Lytechinus pictus: one gene and its partner. The protein of the gene in region 1 purifies or fractionates together with the protein of each later gene. This does not show direct contact. Links are inferred from orthologs where the notes say so. Each region holds a gene or a part of one and is shown on either strand. Other genes may lie near its edges.

Evidence for each region.
Region 2: the proteins of nudC domain-containing protein 1-like (region 1) and putative pre-mRNA-splicing factor ATP-dependent RNA helicase PRP1 purify together in Homo sapiens (co-immunoprecipitation; 3 studies listed by BioGRID and IntAct, with this or other methods). This does not show direct contact. The link is inferred for Lytechinus pictus from reciprocal best matches to the Homo sapiens genes NUDCD1 and DHX15.

The regions. Positions count from the first base shown.
Region 1 is NC_087246.1:46,601,849-46,613,300, forward strand, and holds the start of nudC domain-containing protein 1-like, read right to left. Parts: upstream 4,814-11,452; 5' UTR 4,735-4,813; coding exon 4,602-4,734; intron 1-4,601.
Region 2 is NC_087256.1:1,565,023-1,576,503, forward strand, and holds the start of putative pre-mRNA-splicing factor ATP-dependent RNA helicase PRP1, read right to left. Parts: upstream 5,732-11,481; 5' UTR 5,670-5,731; coding exon 5,605-5,669; intron 837-5,604; coding exon 512-836; intron 16-511; coding exon 1-15.

The DNA.
Region 1 (11,452 bases):
AAAATTACAAACACTACATCTGTGTGAAATTTTGTGATTAATTGCCCATCCACTTTCAAATTATGCCATTTTCGCATTATGCCATTTTCGCATATTAATTAGCTGGACTTAGTCATTTTTTGCCAATTTCCCCTGGGTCCAAAGGTGAAAATTTGTGTTTTCCCCATATTTTGAACTCCGTTAATATAAAAACGAAAAGTAGTTTGGACCCAATTTTTCAGGTACTTGTTGGTGGTTATTATGTTAGGTGCCCCAAGGAAAAGCAACCTCTATACTTCAAGTTTTAAAATAGGTAGCTTTAAAAATGGCAGAAAACACATTTTGGCCATTTTGGCCACTTCTTGGAAGAATATCTGCCTTTTTTAAAAATTTGAATTGGCCGTATCTCGGCAACCCCTGGTCCAATTTTGATGATCTTGGTGTCATTTTAGTTTTTACTTGTGTTTCAGACTTTATTCCAGTTAAACTATTTAAAACTACATTTACAACACTTCAATTTTTGGGGTGGCATCCCTACTATAATCATAATTATTATAATAATTATTATTGTCTCAATAATAATAATGTCTCATTGACATTATTATTGTCTCATTACAATACAATATTACAAGACAACATTATAAGTATTTATATAGTGCTCTTCACAATATCACAGCGCTTTACAAAATGAGCAAAATCAGATTCGCAAACACCTCACAACACTAAAAAATATCGCTAGCTCTTTATGAACCAAATTCAATGAAACTTTCATAAAATGTTCTCAATCAAATTTTATTACTAACCGAGTTTCATTAAGATTCGATGATTATGAGAGGGCGATTTCAAGCGAAGAAGCAGTATTATCTTAACCTGAGGTCTTTCCATCGCACGCCGGTAAGTGAAACTCCACGCTGCATATTTTTGTCTTTTTTGATGTTTGCCAAAGATTTATGAAGCAACAACCATAATTTTTGACCAATCAAAATCAGCGTAATAAAGGAAGAAACTGAGCATGACTGACTCAGTTTTTGTCAAGCTACTGTCAGAGTACTGAGTATTCCAAATTAAATGCCGCTCCAGCGCTCGGCCGAAGGGACACAGTCAGACCGCAGCTCGCGCGATAATGAGCATATTCACGGAGATTTATTCAGCGGCCCTCTAGCGGTCTCCGAAGGAAAACGTGCGATCAATTTGGCTTGATTTTCCCACTGAATTGGAGGGGCTGAAGTTATAGCTCTGTACTGGTCGCTAACTTCAGTTTACGTCGAAACGAATTGTGGTAAGTTATTTTCAAGACCTTCATCTACATTTTGGTATATAATTGTCCATATTTCGACATTTTCAACCTACCATTTTTACCTCTTTAATTGATGCTTATTTTAGTAATATTTTAACCGCGATTTTGTAGTCGGAATTTCACTTTTGGTTCCTGACTTTGCTACATAACCAAATTGTTTCGATCGGGGTTTTTTAGAAAGAAGAAAAGTCACTGTTCAAAATATGTCAGAACCAACTTGACGCAAACTCACCTTGTATTTTTATTTTAGAGAAAATGATACCCTAAAAATCAAGAAATTTACGTTTTACCCGGAAGTAACCTTCTCGTTCACTCCACGATGGCGCGAAATAATGCCAAAATTACGTTCGTCGCGGGTTGGTAGAATTTCGCCTTTGGTCCCATACGTTGAAACTTCTGTAATGATGGCAGATGGCTCGCATTATATTTCTGACTGTGGACGGTGGACTTGTTTTTTTTTTTTATTAAGACTTAATATAAACGAAGCTTAATAAGTAGATCCCTTCTAAAGTTTTATTCAAATGATTATCAGGTTTCCGAATTCCATCAAGTTTTTATAGATTGAGATATTTCTTGATTTATGTTGAAAATTGTTAACCTTTTTTCTTAATTAGTCGAAGATGAGCCCCATGATGATTTTTGCCCCAGGCTGCGGTTAAGAATTAAATGATGATTAGCTCAGACAGTCTACTCTAGAGACTATAAACAGTTTAAAGTCAAAGTAAAAAGTCTGGTACTACCGTACTCAGTAGTATTTATAAACCATTTTGTTCAAATAAAAAAATTGTGTCTGTCACAGACAGTACTTAGTTAGTCTCTTAATTGACTTACATGTAACATAATTCATACTTTGAATAATTTAGACTATTTCTCTCTTTTTTGTCTCTTCTACACACAGATCTGCATACTTTCTGACTCTGGTCTCTGCTTGCTACTTCATTCTGGGAGATTCCATCATGTACTATAATGGTCAGACCATGATTTGGACAAAGCCCTTTTTTCGTTTGCAAATTTTGGACTGATAATGATACAACAGAAAATTGATCTTTATCGATATTGGAAACAAAAAAATTAGAGCACAGTTTTGGGGAGGACTAAGAATACTGACTTGGACAGGAATACAGCTTGACAAAAATAAAAATTCACAATTCAAAACCAAAGAACATTTTTGATGCATTGCAAGAAACTTTCTACTCAATCACACATTCCAAAATTAAGGGTAAGTCCTTTGATTAAACACAAACATGTAGTTGATTTGCAATTGAACATAAGTTTCTTGCAATGCCCCATAATTATATTTTGTTCTCAAGCAACTCTGTTATATGTTATCTAATGTGCTGAAGGTTAAGTGCCATGTATGTTCACAATTTTTTTTTTTCGAAAGGTATAATATATTTGTCCTTTTATATGGTATTTGAATGTGGTTACGCCTTGTTTTTGTTTTCCACAGTAATTATATGAACAATAGTGAAATATTTGTTGTGAAGCACTGTATGAATGTTGTGTGATCATGGAGCTATGGTGTGATGGTATTATAATTAATTCATAATTTTTGTTATAAGACTGTAAACCTGGTGGATGTGAGGGGGTGGCCTGGATGAAAGGAAAGTGAGCATGTGTCCAATTACTGATTTGCATATGTTTAGACAATTTTGTTCGTGGATAAATATTAATGTGCATTCCCTATTCCAAGCAAAGAGTAAAGGAGAAGTCCACCCCACCAAAAAAATAATTTGAATTTAAAGAAAAATAAAGTATTGCAGAGAATTTTATAAAAACTATGATTCAAAATTCAAAAAATTACTATTTTGACATTGAGAAATTTGCCTAATTTTATAAAACAATTATATGCTCATCTTGGTCAATGTGCAAATTACAGAACCGATTATGTCACACGCACTCTAATTTCTTGTGTATTTTTTTGTTTGATACATGTACATGACATGTATATTTTATTTTAATTTTCATTAACAAATTTTGAGAGGGATTTTAATTCCTCCATTAACATTCGTAGTTTCCATAAATGTAACCTATTGTGATTCGAGAAAGATTTTTTACATCAAATTTGCTAAAATTTATATAATAAAAATGCAACAAAAATTTAAAAAGTAATTTGATGTGAGTGACATAATCAACTCTATTTGCATACCATTGTTTTGTGTATATAACTGTTTTGTGTAAAAACAGGGAAATTTCTTTATTTATTCAAATACTTTTTTGTTGATGTGCACTTGACCTTTAACTCACTTCCCTTCCCACCCCTGCCCAAATAAGTGTAATCAAGAACTTGAAAATCAAAAGCAGTGATTAAGAAGAAGTAAGAATTAATCATAGAGCTATTAATAATAGCTCCATGATTTAATAAATACAGGCCTAAATAGAACTTCATATGAAAGTAAAAAGAGAATAAAGCTGGGTAGGAACGATGAAGGAATACGATTTAAAGAAAAAGCATAAACATATCCCCATCAACCCCCCCCCCCCCCTCAAAAAAAAAAAAAAAAAAAACTCAATTTGGTGGGTTCGAACCAGGGTCCTTGCACACGTCAAAACATAGCGCTCACGCAATTCGCCATCGATCTCTTCCGTATTACTTCCGGGTTTTTTAAGATATATATAATGTTGTAAGTCTGTGCGCCGCTGTTGACCAATCAGAACGCGTCGGCAATTCTACTACAATTCCAATCATTTCGCGATGGACATTGCCGTGGTTTTTTGTGGTTCCTGACTTTGCTACATCATGAAATTTCATAATTTTTTTTCAGTCGTAAATAAGAATGTCTACGCTTTATATTGATTATAATATCAATTTGACGCAAGTATGATTTCGATGCAAAAATGCGCTCTGTTTATTCACATATATTTCTTAAAAAAACTCATTTTTTCTAAGCTAAATATCGGTCTTGAAAATACATTAAATGTGCATTTTATTTAGCTGATCAGAAATTTCAAAGTTTTATCTATAAAATAAGACCAATTATGTGAGGAATAAACGATTCTAAGAGCAAAAAACACCGATCGGAAAGTTCGTCTTCACAGCTCATTACGTATGCATAACCACGGACGGCTATGCATACCGCTGAATAAAATAGAGCACTTTCGGACGGGCTGCGGACTGACTGGACAATTGGATTTGGAGCGAAATAAAGTGTGTGAATGATACGCGCTCGCTATTCACTGCAATGCAATTTATGTACGCCCAGCTGATCGGTCCGCACTTTCGCCTAATTACGACTTAAATCATAGCGACGCAAAAATGAATGCATGGGACAAGGGCTTGCTAAGCCTCGCACTTGCCAACTTGTATAAAACAAACTGAACTCACCAGACTTGACGGAAATAGAATAAATTGGTAGTGGGTCGAGAGATAATTTGTAGCCATCAAACTGGCTATCAAGAAGGTCTCTATTCACGCGAAGAACTTCTGAACAAGCAGCCGCCATTTCGATCCGTGACATCTACCGTACCAGGCAAGCATACATACCGGCCGTGTGCGTAAACCACGCACGGTACGCGCGCCACTCGTACTTCACGATTATGGAACGCTCATCAATGTTCGGAATTCTGGAAAAACACGTCAATCATCATGACGTGGCAGTGGAGATGTCATGGGGGCCAAGCCTCCCCCCCCAAAAAAAAAAAACAAAAAAAAAAACAAGCAAATTAAAAGGGGAGGGAGGGGAAGAAACAGTGGGGAAATGAAAGAGTAAAAGAAGGAAAAGTAGGGAGAGTGAGATAAAAGACAGCTCGGGGACATGCAGTTAATTGGCGGCCCTCGATCGATGAGTGTTCGGAGGAGGGGGGGGGGGGGGGTTGGCGCAGTAAGGTGAGAGGAACAAGAGAAGTAGAAGTAGGGAGAGGTGATGAGAAAGAATGTGAAGAGGAGCAGAGAAATGGAGAGGAAAGGGGGCAGTGTCAATCCAGGGAGGGCAGTGGACGAACGATATCGACATATGCAGCTAGAGCACAGCCCCCTATAAATTAATTGTGACTTTGTGACATAATTAACACTCTTTTAATCTGTGCAATTCTCGTTTATCTTCTTTTTTTCATTAAATTTTCCTTTTCGCCCCTGAATGACATAATTGACTGGAATCACTGGATTATATTCAACAGACATTTTTTTATGACTATATATACAGTGCGTCCCACAAAAAACGAAACCGAGATTTATCGATGATTTATCATAACTTAATCACAAATACAATAGACAAATGACCTACCATTGTAAAGCTTAGAATCTCCTCTTTCATCTGAAATTACTTAGATTATTTCTCATTCACGCAAAAATGGCAGAGGTAAAAATGGCACAGGTAAAAATGGCAGAGGTAAAAATGGCAGAGGTAAAAATGGCAGAGGTGGATATGGATCGCACTTAATAAGGAGCTGATATTTTTCATTACTATTACTTTGAGTTTTAACATATAGGACCGGGACATCCTTAGGACACGCATATGAAAATGATGACTATCTCACAATCACAAATACAATAGACAAATGACCTACCATTGTAAAGCTTAGAATCTCCTCTTTCATCTGAAATTACTTAGATTATTTCTCATTCACGCAAAAATGGCAGAGGTAAAAATGGCACAGGTAAAAATGGCAGAGGTAAAAATGGCAGAGGTAAAAATGGCAGAGGTAAAAATGGCAGAGGTGAAAATGGCAGAGGTGAAAATGGCAAAGGTAAGAATGGCAGAGGTAAAAATGACAGAGATAAAAAATGTGAGAGGAATATATGGCAGCGGTAATAATGGCAGAGGTAATAATGGCAGAGGCAAAAATAGCTGAGGTAAAAATGAAAGAGGTATAAATGGCCAGTCTTAAACCCCCATGCCAAAAAATAAAAAAGCCCCTCTATGTACAGTAGATTAAATAAGAAAAGGTCTGAGAAGAAAATTGGAATTATAATGTTGGACTAATGGAAAGGGTAACATTTTTAAACCATACTGTAGATCTTCTGCACCAAATTGATAACACTTGAGTTGGTATTTCTTTTTTCCCCCGGAACTTACATGCACGGCCTTCTCATGTCAAATCGCTCTTCTAATATTCAATTTTGAAGCACACTTTGGATCCCAAGTATTGTACTTTATTCATTAAAGGGGGAATTCACACTGACATATAGTTTATTGTAGAAATAGCAGAAAATAATTAAAATGATATTGATGAGGGTTTTAGGGAATCCATCAAAGATTTTAAAAGCTATTAGAACTTTACATTTTAAAGTTCACGTCATTTGCGAGCAGTTTTTCCCACATATGGTGTAATAAAAAAATATGAATGAAATGTCATTTTCTAAAAAAAAGGAAATTGGTTTTCACTGTACCTTAAGTATATCAACATACAAATCATTTCACATCCGCTCCTGAAAGATATTTTAGCAATCATGAACCACTGATTAAAAATTGAAAAGTATACATTTTTGGTGCATAAAATACGGTGAAGCTGCTAGTATATGTCGTCACAAATCAAAAACTCAAACTTCTAATAACTTTCTTAATCTTTGATTGGTTTTCCGCAAACCTTCACCAATATATTTTTCTGCTAATCTAACAGTAAACCATTTGTCAGGGTGAATTTCCCCTTCAAAACAGGTTGATAGAATGGTACCTAAGAAACACCTATAAATTTAAATCCCTGATTCGCTATACACATTTAAAAATTCATGCGGTAACCGTTACCATAGAAACTAGTTTAGGAACCTTACATCCACTTGGACTAGCTGCAATGCGGTATTGCTCTGAAAACCTGAACGCTAGTTGCTATTATTATATAATTTACATTAAACTATATATGTATCATATCAATATCCATTCGGATCCATTGTGATGTTGAAATATGAAGAAATTACTTTTATTACAGAACGTTTTATTTTTCTGTTATCCAAGTTTTGCAAGTGGCTCAAAGAAATCCTGAACTTGTCTATTTCAGTGTGTTATTATGGTAGCGCACATTGGTGTTTACATTACAATTCGTTTGGTATGTATGCAGTGGCGTACCTAGGATTTTCCACAGGGGGGGCAAAATCGGCCGCAAAAAATTTGACAAGCAAAAAAAAAAAAAAAAAAAAAAAAAAAAAAAAAGGTCTTCAATTAAAAAAAATGAAGGTCATCGTACCAGAAAAAAATTGACAAGCAAAAAAAAAAAAAAAAAAAAGGTCTTCAATTAAAAAATGAAGGTCATCGTACCAGAAAAAAATTGACAAGCAAAAAAAAAAAAAAAAAGGGGGGGCAGGTATATGTCTTTTGTATGGGTTGTGGCTCGTCAGGGGGGGCAGAGTGCCCCCCCTGCCCCCCCGTAGGTACGCTAGTGTATGTATGTGATGAAGTGCTGTTCTACTTTATGAACTGTCCAACATAAATCCTTTCATCACTCACTAATTGAAATCATTTTGGCATGAAAATGTTTGAGTTTATATCATATCAACGATAAAGTATAGACCTATAAAATAAAATTTTACTGTTATGAATAAACATAAATATATAATATCATAATCCTTATTTATATAATGCGAGCGCGAAGCGCGAGCTAAATTTCTTTAGAAATATTATGTATTTTTCCTAAAATTTTGAAAATTCTGGGCAATGTTTGCTATCCTGAAAAAGATGTGTATGTAAATGAATAATTACTACAAACGTGAAGCGTGAGCAGAAATGAACTGATGGAAAAGATACTTGTTAAAGACTGCTTGCAGTTAGCCATGAAGACGTTACATATTTTAAAAATCAAATAATGCGAGCGCGAAGCGCGAGGTGAAATTTTTTGACATTTTTACCTAAGGAATGAAAATTCTAAGCACTTTTTGTAATTTAAACAGATAGGTATATAACTAAACAATCGATGCGAAGCGCGAGCGCAAAATTTCGAGATTTAGACCTACTGAACGAGACACTCTATTCAAGTTTTGTAAATCATGAAAAGGATGATTAATTGGGGATCTTCGTTACATTAATGCGAGTGCAGAGCGCGAGCAGAACATTTTTGTATACGTTTTGAACTGATCGAAAAGGTACCTGTTGAGGACTGCTTGCAACTTAGCCATGAAGACGTTACATATTATAACAATCAAATAATGCGAGCGTGCTGAAATATTTGGACATTTACATAAAGAATGTAAAATTTTAATCAAATTTTTTAATCGTGAACAGGATAAGTATAACTAAACAATTGATGCGAGCGCGAAGCGCGAGCGGAAAAAATCGAGATTTAGACTTAAAAACGGGACACTATATTCATGTTTTGTAAATCATGAAAAGAGTGAGTAATAGGGAATCTTCCTACATTAATAATACGAGCACAAAGCGCGAGCAGAGAATTTTTGATATTGTGATCTGAAACTGGATAATGATTTAAATAGAGAACAAGTTGATCATCTGAATAAACATGCGCGCGCGTGTTTCATATATTTAGACCTAGAATCTAGGCATCCTAATTACATCTTTTATCATAAAATTCAAAGCGAGCGCGAAGCGCGAGTTTAAACTATGTGATATTCCGATCTGAAAAAAAGAGTCAATTTCAGCTCAATATTTTAAGCACTTTGTAGGAAAATTGTGAGGTGGATATGGATCGCACTTAATAAGGAGCTGATTTTTATTTTATTTTTCATTACTATTACTTTGAGTTTTAACATATAGGACCGGGACATCCTTAGGACACGCATATGAAAATGATGACTATCTTCCTATTCCTCTTGCTAAGCGCGAGATGAAACAAAAGGGACAATTTAATTATTAAATTAATATCTTATTCATTAATGCCTATAATGAGGGCGCGAAATCTGATGATATTATGGCCTGAAAAAGCACTTTGTAATTATAAATAGGATACATCAGTTAATATATCAAATAGTAACTTAGATACCCTTGACTTGATACAAAATCATTGAAATTAGCTGCCCCATTTATTGCCCTATCCTTATGTGACATCTTTAACACTAGTTTAGATACGGGGATTTGTTCCTGCTGACTGGAAAATTGCACGTACGACACCGATTTTCAAAGGTAAGGGTTCAAAAGACGAAAAATCGAATTACCGACCAATCTCAGTCGGTAGTCACATCCCCAAAATCATAGAAAAGGAAATACAATCTATCCTACCTCCAAAAGCATGACATGATTAATGTTGATCAATACGCATTTCTTCCGAACCATTCAACAATAACGTGCCTACATCGTGTCTTAGATGATTTCTATGATGCTTATAAATATGAAAGAAATGGTTGCTGCATGCTTTCTAGACATCTCAAAATGTTTTGATTGTGTAGATCATGGACTTCTTCTATTCAAACTCGAAAAATATGGAATTATCAATAATATGCTCACTTGGTAAAAAAAAACTATTTAAATGATAAAAAGCAAGCTGTATTTTCCAAAGGAAAATTATCTAATATTAAAAAAGCTTTCTATTGGAGTACCGCAGGGCAGTGTTCTGGCCCCCATCCTGTTCTTAATTTGTATTAATGATATATCTGAATGTATTACTGAAGGTACTTGCAGCATATTTGCTGATGATGTAGTAGTATTTGCCTCAGACAGTAAATTGGAAGATGTAACAAAGAAATTACAGAAAGATGTAGACGCCTTAAATGACTGGTATAACCGAAACCGATTACGCATTAATACAAGCAAAACCAAAACAATACTATAAATTAAATTAAGATCATCCGATACATTGAATACATTCATTAATAATGATCTGATTGAACAGGTAAAGTCTATAAGGTATTTAGGCATTGTGATAGATGAAAACCTGAAGTGGAATGTATATTTAAGAGAATTATGTAAATCGATTGCCTATAAGATCTACTCTTTAGGCAAGTTGAGTAAATTCCTGAGTTCACATGTACTAAATATCCTATATAAATGCATAATTCAGCCCTGTATAGACTACTAGTATGCAATCTCTGTTTGGGGCAACTGTCCAGCAGCTTACAAATTGCCCCTAAATAGATTGCAAAATAGAGCTGCCAGATATGTATCTGGAATTTCTGACTATCAAATTGCGAGCGGGAATACATTGATAAATCAACTCTCCTGGCAAACTATTGACCAACGTCGAGATTATTTTCTGGCAATTCTCATGTACAAGTGTATAAGGGGCGTTGCCCCTCCCCGCTTATCAAATGAAATTGAAATGTACTTCGATCGCCATGACATGAACACTAGGAATGCAAATTCACTAAATGTAGTATTACCCAAACCTATCATATCCCTATTTAAACAATCCTTTAAATATGCCGGAGCAGTAACTTGGAACAAACTCCCGGAAGATATCCAGAATGCCATTTCTGTTGAAAGTTTCAAACATCATTACAAGAAATTTCGCTTAAATCTATAACAATTATTTAACTGTTCTTTCATGGTCCATATATATCTATAGTATTGTTATTATAAGCATGATTACCAAATAATACACATCTACTTATTATCGATTATTATGATTTCCTATGAGTATTTAAAATTGTTACAATTCTTTAAATTGAGACCCATTCCTGTCTTGATATCAATGTATAAAACCTCTTTCCTTTTCCTTCACTTCTTTATCTTACTGTGAGATAAATCTTGCTATTTGTTCTTTTTTTCTGATGTTTCATTTTTAGCATTATTTGTATTTTAGTTTTGCTGTATATAATAACATGTATTTCTAATTATTTGTAATCTTTCTCTTTAATATGTGTATATTTTCTTTATGCAGGACCATTATGTGAAACAGCCTGCGAGCTGATTAATGTTTTATCCTGTTGAAAGATGTTTTAATAAATAAATATAAATAAATAAAATATTTGAACCATTAATGCGAGCGCAAATCGTGAGACAAAATTTTTGATAAACTGTCATGAAAAGGGGATTTTAAGTAGTTTGTTGTATAATCAATATTGAGACATACATAACTCACAAATAAAAATGCGAGCGTGCAGCGCTAGCTGATACGTTTTGACAATCAGACCTGAAAAGGGTATTTTGAAAACTTTATGGAATACACGAAAATAATAGGTACCTGTTCATCAAAATTTGCGAGCGCGCAGCACGAGCAGAAATGTTGATATTCAGACCATAAAATTGACATTTTTACAGAGCACTTTTAAAAAATAAATTTGTAAATCACACAAAATAATAAAAGTTCGATTTCCGCGGTGAAATATGTTTTGTATATTGACATCCTAACTTGATA
Region 2 (11,481 bases), on another chromosome or scaffold:
GCACCATTGAGGTATCTGTAAAACAAGTTATGTGAACAGTTGGAATTAAATAAATTTCATTCACTGTTTAGTTTACAGCCAACAAATTACCCGATTCAGTCAATATCAGTGCAGAACATGCTCATCTTCCCTATTCTCACTATCCCCTTCCTAGAACTTCTTTTACATTCATGTCTAACTTTGCTGTTGCACACAAAGTACACAAAGTCAAAATCTATCCCAACATCCTCTATGATAGTCAATTGACACTTACATTTACCAACACTCTTGGGTACTGTACAGTTCTGAAAATTACACACACAAATACTTATTTTGAAAGTGCAGATATTCTTGTTCATTCATGCACATGGTTGATTTACCAGAATCTTAGTCGAGTCATCAACTATAAGGTACATCAATGAAACCAACTCCAAACCAACCAATAGTATGTCATTTAGTAATAACATAATAGCTTGTGTCAGTCTGGAATCAGTTTCTTTGTTGTGACTGACCTGTATGCTCTCTATCTTACCTGTGTAGTTTTACCAGAACCAGTCTCTCCTACGAGCACAATAATCTTCTGTTCCTCCAGCATCTTCATGAACTTATCCTTGTATTCCCAGACAGGCAGTGTTTTCCTCTTGGCCAGGATTGTGAAGTATTTTTGTGAGTAAGGAGTGAGATTCAATGGATTGATAACTACTGTAGGAGTTGGTACGGACATGGGTGCACTGGTAACCCCTGAGGATTCCCATCGTGATCTATCCCTGTCACGGTCTCTTCTATCACGGTCCCTATCACGATCTCGATCTCTGTCATCATCTCGGTCCCTCTTTTCCCTCTCTCGATCCCTGTCCCTGGTATAAAAAAACAATACAGAATTCATTAACTGGTTGGTCTAGTTTAATACATGCAACAATTTGCAACTGATTTGAGGATGTTCATTTGTAACTTTGCAACCGATTTCAAAACTTTATAAATTCATGTTTTATAAAATAGAGAGCAAGGATGCCATCATAGCTCTGGGTATTCTCACATGAAAGTTACAATTCCATGGATTCCATGGAGACAACCATTTAATCCCAATTAGGCCTATAACTTTAGGCAATATGATTAACTACTGGAACACATCAAAGTACACTGTAGCCCGAAAGATGAAAAGAGAAAACTTATGTGCTGGAAAGGTATTCCTTCTCAGTTTGCTCAAGAAGAAAATGAGAGCCACGCATTGGAATGGAAACTTGAAGGTAAAGTTAATAGGGATTCTCCATTGCACATATTAAGCGCCACTCACCATCTACTTGCATGACATGAGTGGGTACAAACTTGATGAGCGACTGATATAATGCAAAAAAAAGGCATTATCAGGGGTCCTAATGCTACATGGATGAAAAAGTCTGTCAATCGCGATGGGGTAAGAGATGCATGTGAAGCTCAATTCAAATGAAGGAAGGAAAGAAATGACAACATGACAATCATGTTCACATTTGTTGGAGACAAACAACAATACTGAACAGCGACACAATGAAAAACTTGCATATATGGAAACAATGTACTGAGGAAAAATTAGTGAGCTGGAAGGAAATATCAAGGACCTGATGGCTAAAAGACACACAGAGAGAAAAAGAAGCCATAAGGAAACAATCAGTAGCTAGAAAGGAAATCAATAAGAAATGAGTAGCCTGAAAGAAAGTAATATCCGATAAGAGTATCGACTTGATGCTGAAATGAAAGCACTACATCAACATGTATGCCGAATTCAGGTTGCAGATGCTCTTTATAATAAAGGAAACTTAACACTTAAGTATGGTATGATAGAACGACGAAAGGGAACCTTGGGCACATTGCAGAGGTGAAAGTTTCTTCTTGAAGCGAAACTTATTTAATGGGAAAGAACCAGCAGCCAGGTCTAGCACTTATAATAATAATAATAATACAGGTATATTTACCCAGGGAAGCCGCTTCAGTTCCGAAAACTGTTCTCCCAGCGGGCCCTGCTATTATTATTACCCCGGCTTTAGCTGGGCTACCTAGGCGCTCAAAGCATTGAAGGAATTTCTTCCTGCCGGGTACCCATTCATCTCACCTGGGTTGAGTGCAGCACAGTGTGGATAAATTTCTTGCTGAAGGAAATTACGCCACTTGACTATATCCATGCAATTACGCGGTGTGCTGAAAGTGATGTGCTAGGAGAGGGTAGCAATACCATGACAGATAGGTGTGTTACCAATGCTACTGTGGATGCACAACTTGAAGAGAAGATTGGGAAAAGGTCAAAAAAGTTTAGATGTGGGATGCACCTTTTGGATTCAATCGCAAACAAACCTGATCCTGTGCTGACATCACAGGACAAGGAGCGGATAGTTCCAAACATTAACGCAATGCCATACCATCGGCGAGGGGAAAGTAATGCACAGGCTCTAATACATGCTGCTCAGCATAGCTTCAACAATGCTACCACTGGGATATTGTATAATTAAGACCTTGAAGGATAGAGGCTCTAACCGCTCTATCAATTATTTACCACCTTTGGTTGGTAACCGCTTCAAATATCCTGTTTCATAGTGTAGCAAGTAAGCGAGGTAGGAGATGGGATAACAAAATATTTTACTAAGGTAATGAAACCTTCAAATGACCTGCACAGAGCATTCATGAACACATGGACAACAGAAGCAAAGACAGATGTCCGATGCCTTGGTATCATTCATCACATGTTGACTGGTCCATGGATGGCAACCATTGGTGCCAGTAAGAGCATACTTGATCTGAACGAAATTTTCCAAAATGTTTGTCTTCACTGAGGAGTGTCAGAAGGACACAGAGCTAAGATTCCACTGAATCCACTCTGAGGTAATTACCTTCCCAGGCCAGATTCAGGATGTGGAGAACTGGAGGGTAACACAAATCCTACCCCTGAAATGAATCCACACTCTCCCACATCCTCAATGGTTTTGTTTAGTGCGATCATAAAACAGCAATTGGCATTGCAGCTACTTGAAGGAAAATTCTGGGATCCATTTGATGAACTTCAAGAAGCTGCGTTGTCATGTTCAAACACAATTAGAATTTCACACTATTAATAGTACGTACACTATGGCTTTGCGTTACCGGTGACATCTGTACTTTTGGCAGATACTTTGTTCTGTTTCAGAAGTTAAATGTATTTTACAATGCTATACATACAAGTAAAGTTTAAAGTGTTTTCACATGATGAATTTGATATTAAGGATTATTTTTATATCTTTCTTTGGGACAGTAACAGCTCTTGAATTTTTTGTTGTCCTGCATAACACAGGTGGAGAGTGATAGTGCCTGTGTATGTGTTTGGTGTGTGCTGTGGTGATTGACTGCACTGGCTTGTGAAAAAAGTCTGATAAACATGTTGAATCATGACACATGTCGAATATAGGCGCATCTCAGAAAAGCGACTAATTTTGTAATAAGGAGGCAAGATTTAACCTGTACCCAACCTAGCCTTGAGGACGCTGTGATGTTTTTTAATATTTTACATATACTTTTACTTGAAATGGTCGCCATACATGCCTAAGCGAGACTTGTCAACACAGATAGATTTCCTTAGGAAATCCATATTTAGAGGGTGAAATCGGTTTGTTTCTCTTGATTTTATTTATCTATGAACCTTCATACGCCTTATGTGTATGAAGCCTGAACTTGAAGGGGTAAAATATGTTAGTATAAATATGAAAAATGAGAGGTTTCGTACCAGACCAATCTCATGTAGATCCCTCGATCCATTCGTAAACACTACAAATACAATAGGCTTGACCCTTGAACCGCTTCGATATGACGTAGCTTCTATGAGCTATGTTACGAATAGACAGGAATAACCGTCGTTTCTGGGGATTTATTCAACAATTTCTGACATTTTACTGTAATCCCCATTTACCGACGGTAGGGTGTACGTGTGGGCTCGCATGTGTTCTCATTCCCTCCCTTTTGTCAATTCACAGTTCAAAGTTTGATGTAATTTTACACATCGAATTTACAATCTAAGGATGTATTAACAACAAACTTTTAAAACTTTGTATTTTAACATTTAAATACTTTAAACGATATAGATGAAAAAGGCATGAAAAATATACTTTACCGATGTTTAATTGGGTTGAACACGATAAAAATGGTCAAAATGGCAGCCAAACTATAAAATATTTACAAACGAACGTCAACAATCACGAATGTGATATCGATATTGCTTTCGATATTATACGATCTGCTCCATATGCGAACGAAACCGAAGATAAACGATACTAGTTATACTAGTACTAGTACTAGTTATAATCGCGATATATCGATTCGAGACATTAAGTTAATACGATAATGACGTCATTCAAGATGGCAACTTGCAAGAAAGACCGTCAGGTCAGGTGAAAATGTCTTAGATGACAGATTTCTCAATCATCCAGAGGATTTTTTTCAATAACTCCGGCCCAAGGTATGCAATTACTTAAGTTATTAATATTTCCCTGATAATGGAAACCATGAAACTTTCAATTTTGCTTAAAAAACAGTTTTAAATCGCGATCTATAAAACGCTAGTTCACTATACGTTGGCTGTAGGTACGGGGCCCCATCCCCTTCAGTCTATGTATGGTGAGTGGAGCCAACGTAGTTCAGCGGAACAACCAAAATACAGAGACTGAAGCTTTTGGTCTATGTTACGAAGTGCCGTTTTGAAGAACAATTCATAGATTAAAAATAAAATCATTATTTATTAAATAATAAAATTTGAGAATATTATTATAATTAATAATTTTAATATATGAACTGTTTGAAATGTATGGCAACGATTTCAAGGCTCCGTGATGTAAAAGTATATGTAAAAATATTAATAACATCATCACAGAGTCCTCAAGGCTATACCCAACCCCTTCCCAATATTTTTTTTTACCTTTAATGCAGTTTCGCGCAGGCCTACTTCAAAGAAATAATTTTCTGCAAATGTCACTCATAGTCAAAGCAAGTCTCTAGTCTCGATCACATTTTAAATTAGGGTCAATAATAATATGCCAATTGCTTTTCCGAATATCGCAATCAGGAACGGGAACATTTGCAAACAAATGAGTGGTTTGGGGAAATTTGAGCGAAGTTAGCCGGTGCGTGGCGGTGCGAAACTGCCATTTAGCACCATATTTTTTTTATTTTATGAAGAAGTACATGAACGATACACTACTTAGTAATATAAACACAGCCATGCCATGCAATTCAAAGTTGTGTTTTGTTCGACTCTGTCTTTGAGACGCACAATCATTTTTAAAAAAACTTATCTTACTTAGGTTAGCTTTAGGCCAGCACAGCATCGTCCCAGGCGCCACGGGTCATCGCGCCTCACAGTCACACATCACTGCTGCTAGTCAGACTCATCTATAACACTTCCCTGCCCATAGTCACTCATACTAGATATAGCCGATGCAGCATGCAGCGGCGAGCGCCATGCTGCATCCTCATCACTCAACGACACCCGTACGTACCGTACCGGTATCCACAATGGTCAATGCACATGTCACGATTACAATATCATTCTCACTTGAAGACAATAAAAAACAATTTTTCACGTATTAATAGATTGGAAAATATCACAAATCAGTATCAAGTCATCGTCATTACCTATAATCAGATTCTCCCTTCCGTTTACTGTATGAATCATCGATATCTAAACGTCTTTTTGACATTCTCTTCGGATTTCTCGCTGCAGTAGCGCAAAAAGGCAAAAACAATTACTCAATGCGACGGTATTTACCGTAGAGGGCATGCAGCAAAACAGAGAGAGTATCGAGTAAGAAGGTCGACATTGTATTCAAACTTAGCTACTGTTGTCAAATATAAGAAAAGAATCTCTTGTCTTATTTGGTTTACAATTACACTCAACGAAAGCATGTACATTATCTTCGTCCACGTAACAATGCGGGCATCTCCCATCTGTTATAGCATACAAATTCTTTCTTACTGGCAATAAATTATATATAACCTTAAAATTTGATTCTTTCAGTTTATTTTCTTTACAGTGACACAAGTTTCTTTTAAAAGTTTTTGTCCAATCTAATGGTGACCCAATTATCTCTTCCCAATACAAATAGCATCTGTTATAGTGCTCGATGAATCTAAGGATAATAGTCTATAGAATTGTTTACTTGAAATATCATGAAAATTTTTAATTTGATTTTTTGCTCCTACATCTATTTTGGGAAACTCTAATGAAGGTTTATTATTGCGGTTGGTACAAGGTAATGTATTATCATTTATCCAGATTTTAGGGATAGCCTGACGTAATAATGTGTAGTCGAATATCAATCTTTGCTTACTCTTCTGCGATTTAAGAAGGGAATGAATTTCCACGAAATTTCCATTCCTGAGAATATCTTTCAAAAATACTATATATCCCAGATTTATACCATCCTTCAAAAAATAGGGTGATGTTGCGAAAGGTTACATTTTTATTGTGCCACAAAATTTCGTATTGTAGACCATGTACTTTAGGGTGATATTCTAAACAAGCATTATTCTTTATCTTTAACCAGGCCTGTAATATTTTAATGTAAAAGACTGGAAGATGGTGCTTGCATATATATGTTTTATATTACAAGCATCAAAGTCTGAATTAAGGAGTAGTTTCAAACCACCTAAAATATTAAACCAATAAAGGCTGAATTTACAACACATTCCTTTACTTGACGCAAGAATGCGCCCCAGCCATCTTAGTCGAAAGCTCAATTTTGGGGTATATAGATTAATCATGTTGACCCCTCCATTGTCTAGTTTGTTGGTCATTATAGGTCTTTTTACTTTTTCAATCTTTGTATGCCAAATAAAAGTATATATTAGAGAATTCAGTCTTTTTAACATTTTCTCAGGAATAATATCAACCATGAGAATATGTACTAACTACTAACTGACTTAAACCTAGAGTTTTGACAATGGTTACTCTTCCAAAAATAGTAAGCTTTCTTTTTCTCCAATTATATAATAATCTTTGCAATTTCGTTAGTTTATTTTCCCAATTCATTTTACGTGCTTTTTCTATATCAGGTGAGATGTAAAACCCTAAGTATTTTGTAGGAATATCTGTCCATGATAGACCAATATCATTGAGTGACCATTTGGAGTTACTTCTCCCCACCCACATGATCACTGTTTTAGTTTTATTAAGTTTTGGACCTGCTACATTCCCAAATAACTCAAGTTCTTCATTTATCAATTTTAGTGATCTTTTATCTAACACAAAGAACAGGGTATCGTCAGCATGTTGTAGTACTTTAACCTCACAATTATCTTCTGGTTTCAAAACAGGTATACCTCTTATGTATTCATTATTTCTTATTTTGTTAGACATAAATTCTGCTGCGAGGACAAAGAGTAATGCTGAAAGCCTTGTCTAATTCCCCTTTGTATTGAAAAGGACTCTGATATCCAGCCATTTACTAATACAGAGCTTCGAACATCTGTGTACAACATTTTTATCCATGTCTGGAAATTATTTCCAAAATTCATTTTTTCCAGACATGAGGACACAAAATTTATATCTATTACATCAAAAGCTTTAGAAAAGTCTGCCATCATTATAGCACCATCTAAGTATTTTCTTTTCATAAATTCAATGACATCAATTGTAAGACGTATATTAAAGGCAGACAGGCGATGTTTTATATAACCAGTTTGTTCTTCGCTAACGATCTGTCCAATAACCGATTGCAATCGTGCGGCCAAAACTGCGGTCATTATTTTATAATCGCAATTTAAAAGTGAGATTGGCCTCCAGTTTTCTAGATTTCTATGGTCTCCTTTCTTATAAATCATTGTAATAAGACCAGCTTTCTGACTTTCAGACATTTTCCATTTGTGAAGCATTCATTAAGAGCGCTCGATAAAATATATTTGATGTCGTCCCAAAAGGTTTGGTTAAACTCTATGGGAATACCATCCAGACCAGGTGATTTGATTTTATTCATAGAAAAAGCAGCACGTTTGCATTCGGCACTTGTTAACAATCCTTCACATTTATTTCTTCCTTCATCACTCAGCTTTGGAACATGAACTGACTTGATGTAATTATTTCTCTCAGTTTTATCGATATCAGATTTTCTAAATAACAATGAATAAAACTTTACGACTTCCTGTAATATCTCTGTTTGTTTAGTACAATATTTATCTTTGTTTACAGATAACAATTGGGTAATATTTTTTCTATCTGAATTATATTTCTCTAAACCTAAAAAATAACTTGTGCACTTTTCACCTTTTTCTAACCACCTGACTCTTGCTCTAATAGCAGCACCTTTACATTTATGCATTATACTTTCTGCATTATATATACGAACGTGTGCATGTGTTAAAAAATAACAAGCAGATCACGCGAAGATGGGAAAATTAAGGCCAGCTTAATTAGACTCCGGAAGCCGGAAGAATTAAGAAGGAAGAAGAAGAATTCAAATTTATTCAGGACTCATCATAAAAAGCATTAAAAAATTTATACAAGTACTACATAAGGTGAGATGAATATAAGAATTAAAATGACAAAACACAAGGCATAATGATCAGGGGTGACGATCAGAAGTAAAGGAGGTTTAAAGGGGTGGTCCAGGCTGGAAATATTTATATCTCAATAAATAGAGTAAAATTCACAAAGCAAAATGCTGAAAATTTGATCAAAATCGGATTACAGCCCGGACCATTAGTTAACACGGACATATTATAGAAATTTTGCACACTTTGAAATTAATGCCTGTAATGTATTCCTTTTGAGAAGAAGAAGAAGAAGAAGCTGAGAAGAAATCGGATAACAATATAACGAAGTTATTGAATTTTAAAGATTTGCATTATTCAGGTGAAACAGTGTTAGGCATGTCTTTATGAATATTCATGAGGTGGGCTGATGATGTCATATCCCCACTTGTTCTTTTGTATTTTATTATATGAAATTAGGTTTATTCAAATTTTTACTATACCAAGAAATAAAACAACTAGATTGACAACTGATTAAGTGCATTATTGGCGCAACTTATTTCATCAAAATATGGAGACACATAATTTACACATGCATGAAAAAATTAAACAATTATGATTTCATGTAATAACATAAGAAAAAGGAAAGTGGGGATGTGACAGCATCAGCCCAGCTAAAAATAATGAATATTTATAAAGACATGCCTGGAACTGTTTCACCGGAATAATGCAAATCTTTAAAATTCAATAACTTTGTTATTTGTTATCCGATATTGATCAAATTTTCAACATTTTGCTTTGTGAATTTTACTCTATTTATTAAGATATAAATATTTTCAGCCCGGACCATCCCTTTAAGAAGAAGAAAATATATTTACTTATACTTTGTGGCCTGTGCGATTTTTGGGGGCGGCGTTATTTGTATAGTATGGTTTAATTGATATGCATAAATGATTTTCCATTGGAATTGGACAATCTATAATTCCATTAATTTTCTTAAAAAAGCTACGAGCGAGTGAAGCGAGTTGAATTAAAGAATTGCCTTTTTATTATAAAAAATCTTATTTTTGATAGATTTTTATTCATTCTGAAATATTTCACCCCTTTCATATCATTTTCTTTATTATTGTTATTCTTTTTTTGGGGGGCGGGGGCTTAATTGCCCCCAGACCATAGCCGATAAACCCTTTAGAGCTTCATCTCCTTCCGAGCTAGCTGCGACCAATTTATTTTCATTTCACTTTTGTCATTACCATGTTCGTGAAACTTACTTTATTTTTTAGGGTTATTCTCAGAAAAATGCACCAAATTATTGATGGGAGAAAAAATCGTAAAAATGAAGTCTACAGAGTGGGTTGAAAGATGCATATTGTGAAAGTACCATGTATGAGAAAGTGGCAACAGAAAAGGGGCAAGTCGCTGTTGCGTCAATTTGAAGTACTGACCGGATACTGAAGCACTATATATATATCAATGTTATCGGAGGTTAATCGTTAGCATTGCCCACTTATGTCACTCAGTTATATCACTTTTGAAATGATTGAAATAGAAATGCACACAATTCAATATTAGTGTGGTATCAACAATTTCATTTACTGAAGCCAAAATGTTTGCAAGATATAAAAAAATATTCAATATTGTTTTTCAGAAGCAGGATTTTACCAAATAACATAACAGAAAAAACCATAAAAATCATTGCACATCTTTCGTTTAGTTTAATGTTCATAATTTGAATGAGGCAACCTTAAAATAACTTTTCATCCAGAACCTGAGATCCTAAGCTATATGCATGACCAATTATGGGAATCCAAAGATAGTTACCATCAAATCCTCTCAAAGGCATTTACCCTTGTCAATCTTCGTTACGGAAGTTAAATCAAGTTACAAATTGCAATACTTACTTTGTTAGCTTAGGAACATCCATATTTAGGTATTCGTATCGTATAACATTTTTTTAATTTATTAAAGATGAATGTGGAACGCATTGTTTAATTTTGCCACCCCCCATTAAAAAATGTTAAAAACAGACCAACAAACTGGCAACTGTCATATTTTTTGTCGTTCTTGTTCATAGTTGCAATAAGAAAACCGAATAACCGAGCCACAGAATTGTAGTTCATCTTAAAAGTTTCTGGCCCTAAGTAATCCTAAGCAAGATCCTAAGCAATATTAACGCATGGCCAATTCTGGGAATCCCAAAATACTTTACAATCAAATCCTCGAGTGGCATTTAACCTTGTCAATCTTTGTTACGGAAGTTTAATCAAGTTACAAATTGCAATATTTATTTTGTTAGCTTAGGAAAATCCATATTTAGGTATTCGTATAACCTTTTTTAATAAATAAAAATAAATGTGGAACGCATAGCTTAATTCTGCCGCCCCCTAAAAAAAATGTTAAAAACAGAACAGGAAACAGACAACTGTATTTTTCGTTGTCGTTGTTGTTCACAGTTGGAATGAGAAAACCGAAAAACCGGGCCACAGAATTGTAGTTCATCTTAAAATTTTCTGGCAATAAACAAAATATAACAATCGCAGGCCCGTAACCAGGATGAGTTTTCTGCAGGGTTACGAGGAATCCAGCCGCTTGCCAATAGCCAAAAAGATAGAGAGAAAAAACATTTAAAAAAGCAAAAAGGACATGGGGAAATGAATAAAAAAAGGAAGGTGAATGAAACAAGAGGCTAAAAATTCACGTTTGTAAGTTAATATACACAAATTATTAATGGAATCTATCTAATCGCGATATTTTTTTTTTCATTATTTTGTTTCATCGAGATACGCAATTACGCATCCTGTTCGTGATTTAAAAAATGATAAATAGCCAAAATGTTTGATTATCGAAATACGTATTTCATTCCTATAAATTCCAACAAACCGTGAGTGTTTAAAATATCCCTTTCCATGTTTTCATGTCAGTGGGCCTATATCAATTATTTCAGCGCTTTTCATGCGCATTAAAGGGGTCATCCAGGCTGAAAAAATGAAAGAAAAATGTGATCTGAGCAGATAATAATCAGACAAACAAAATACTGCAAATATG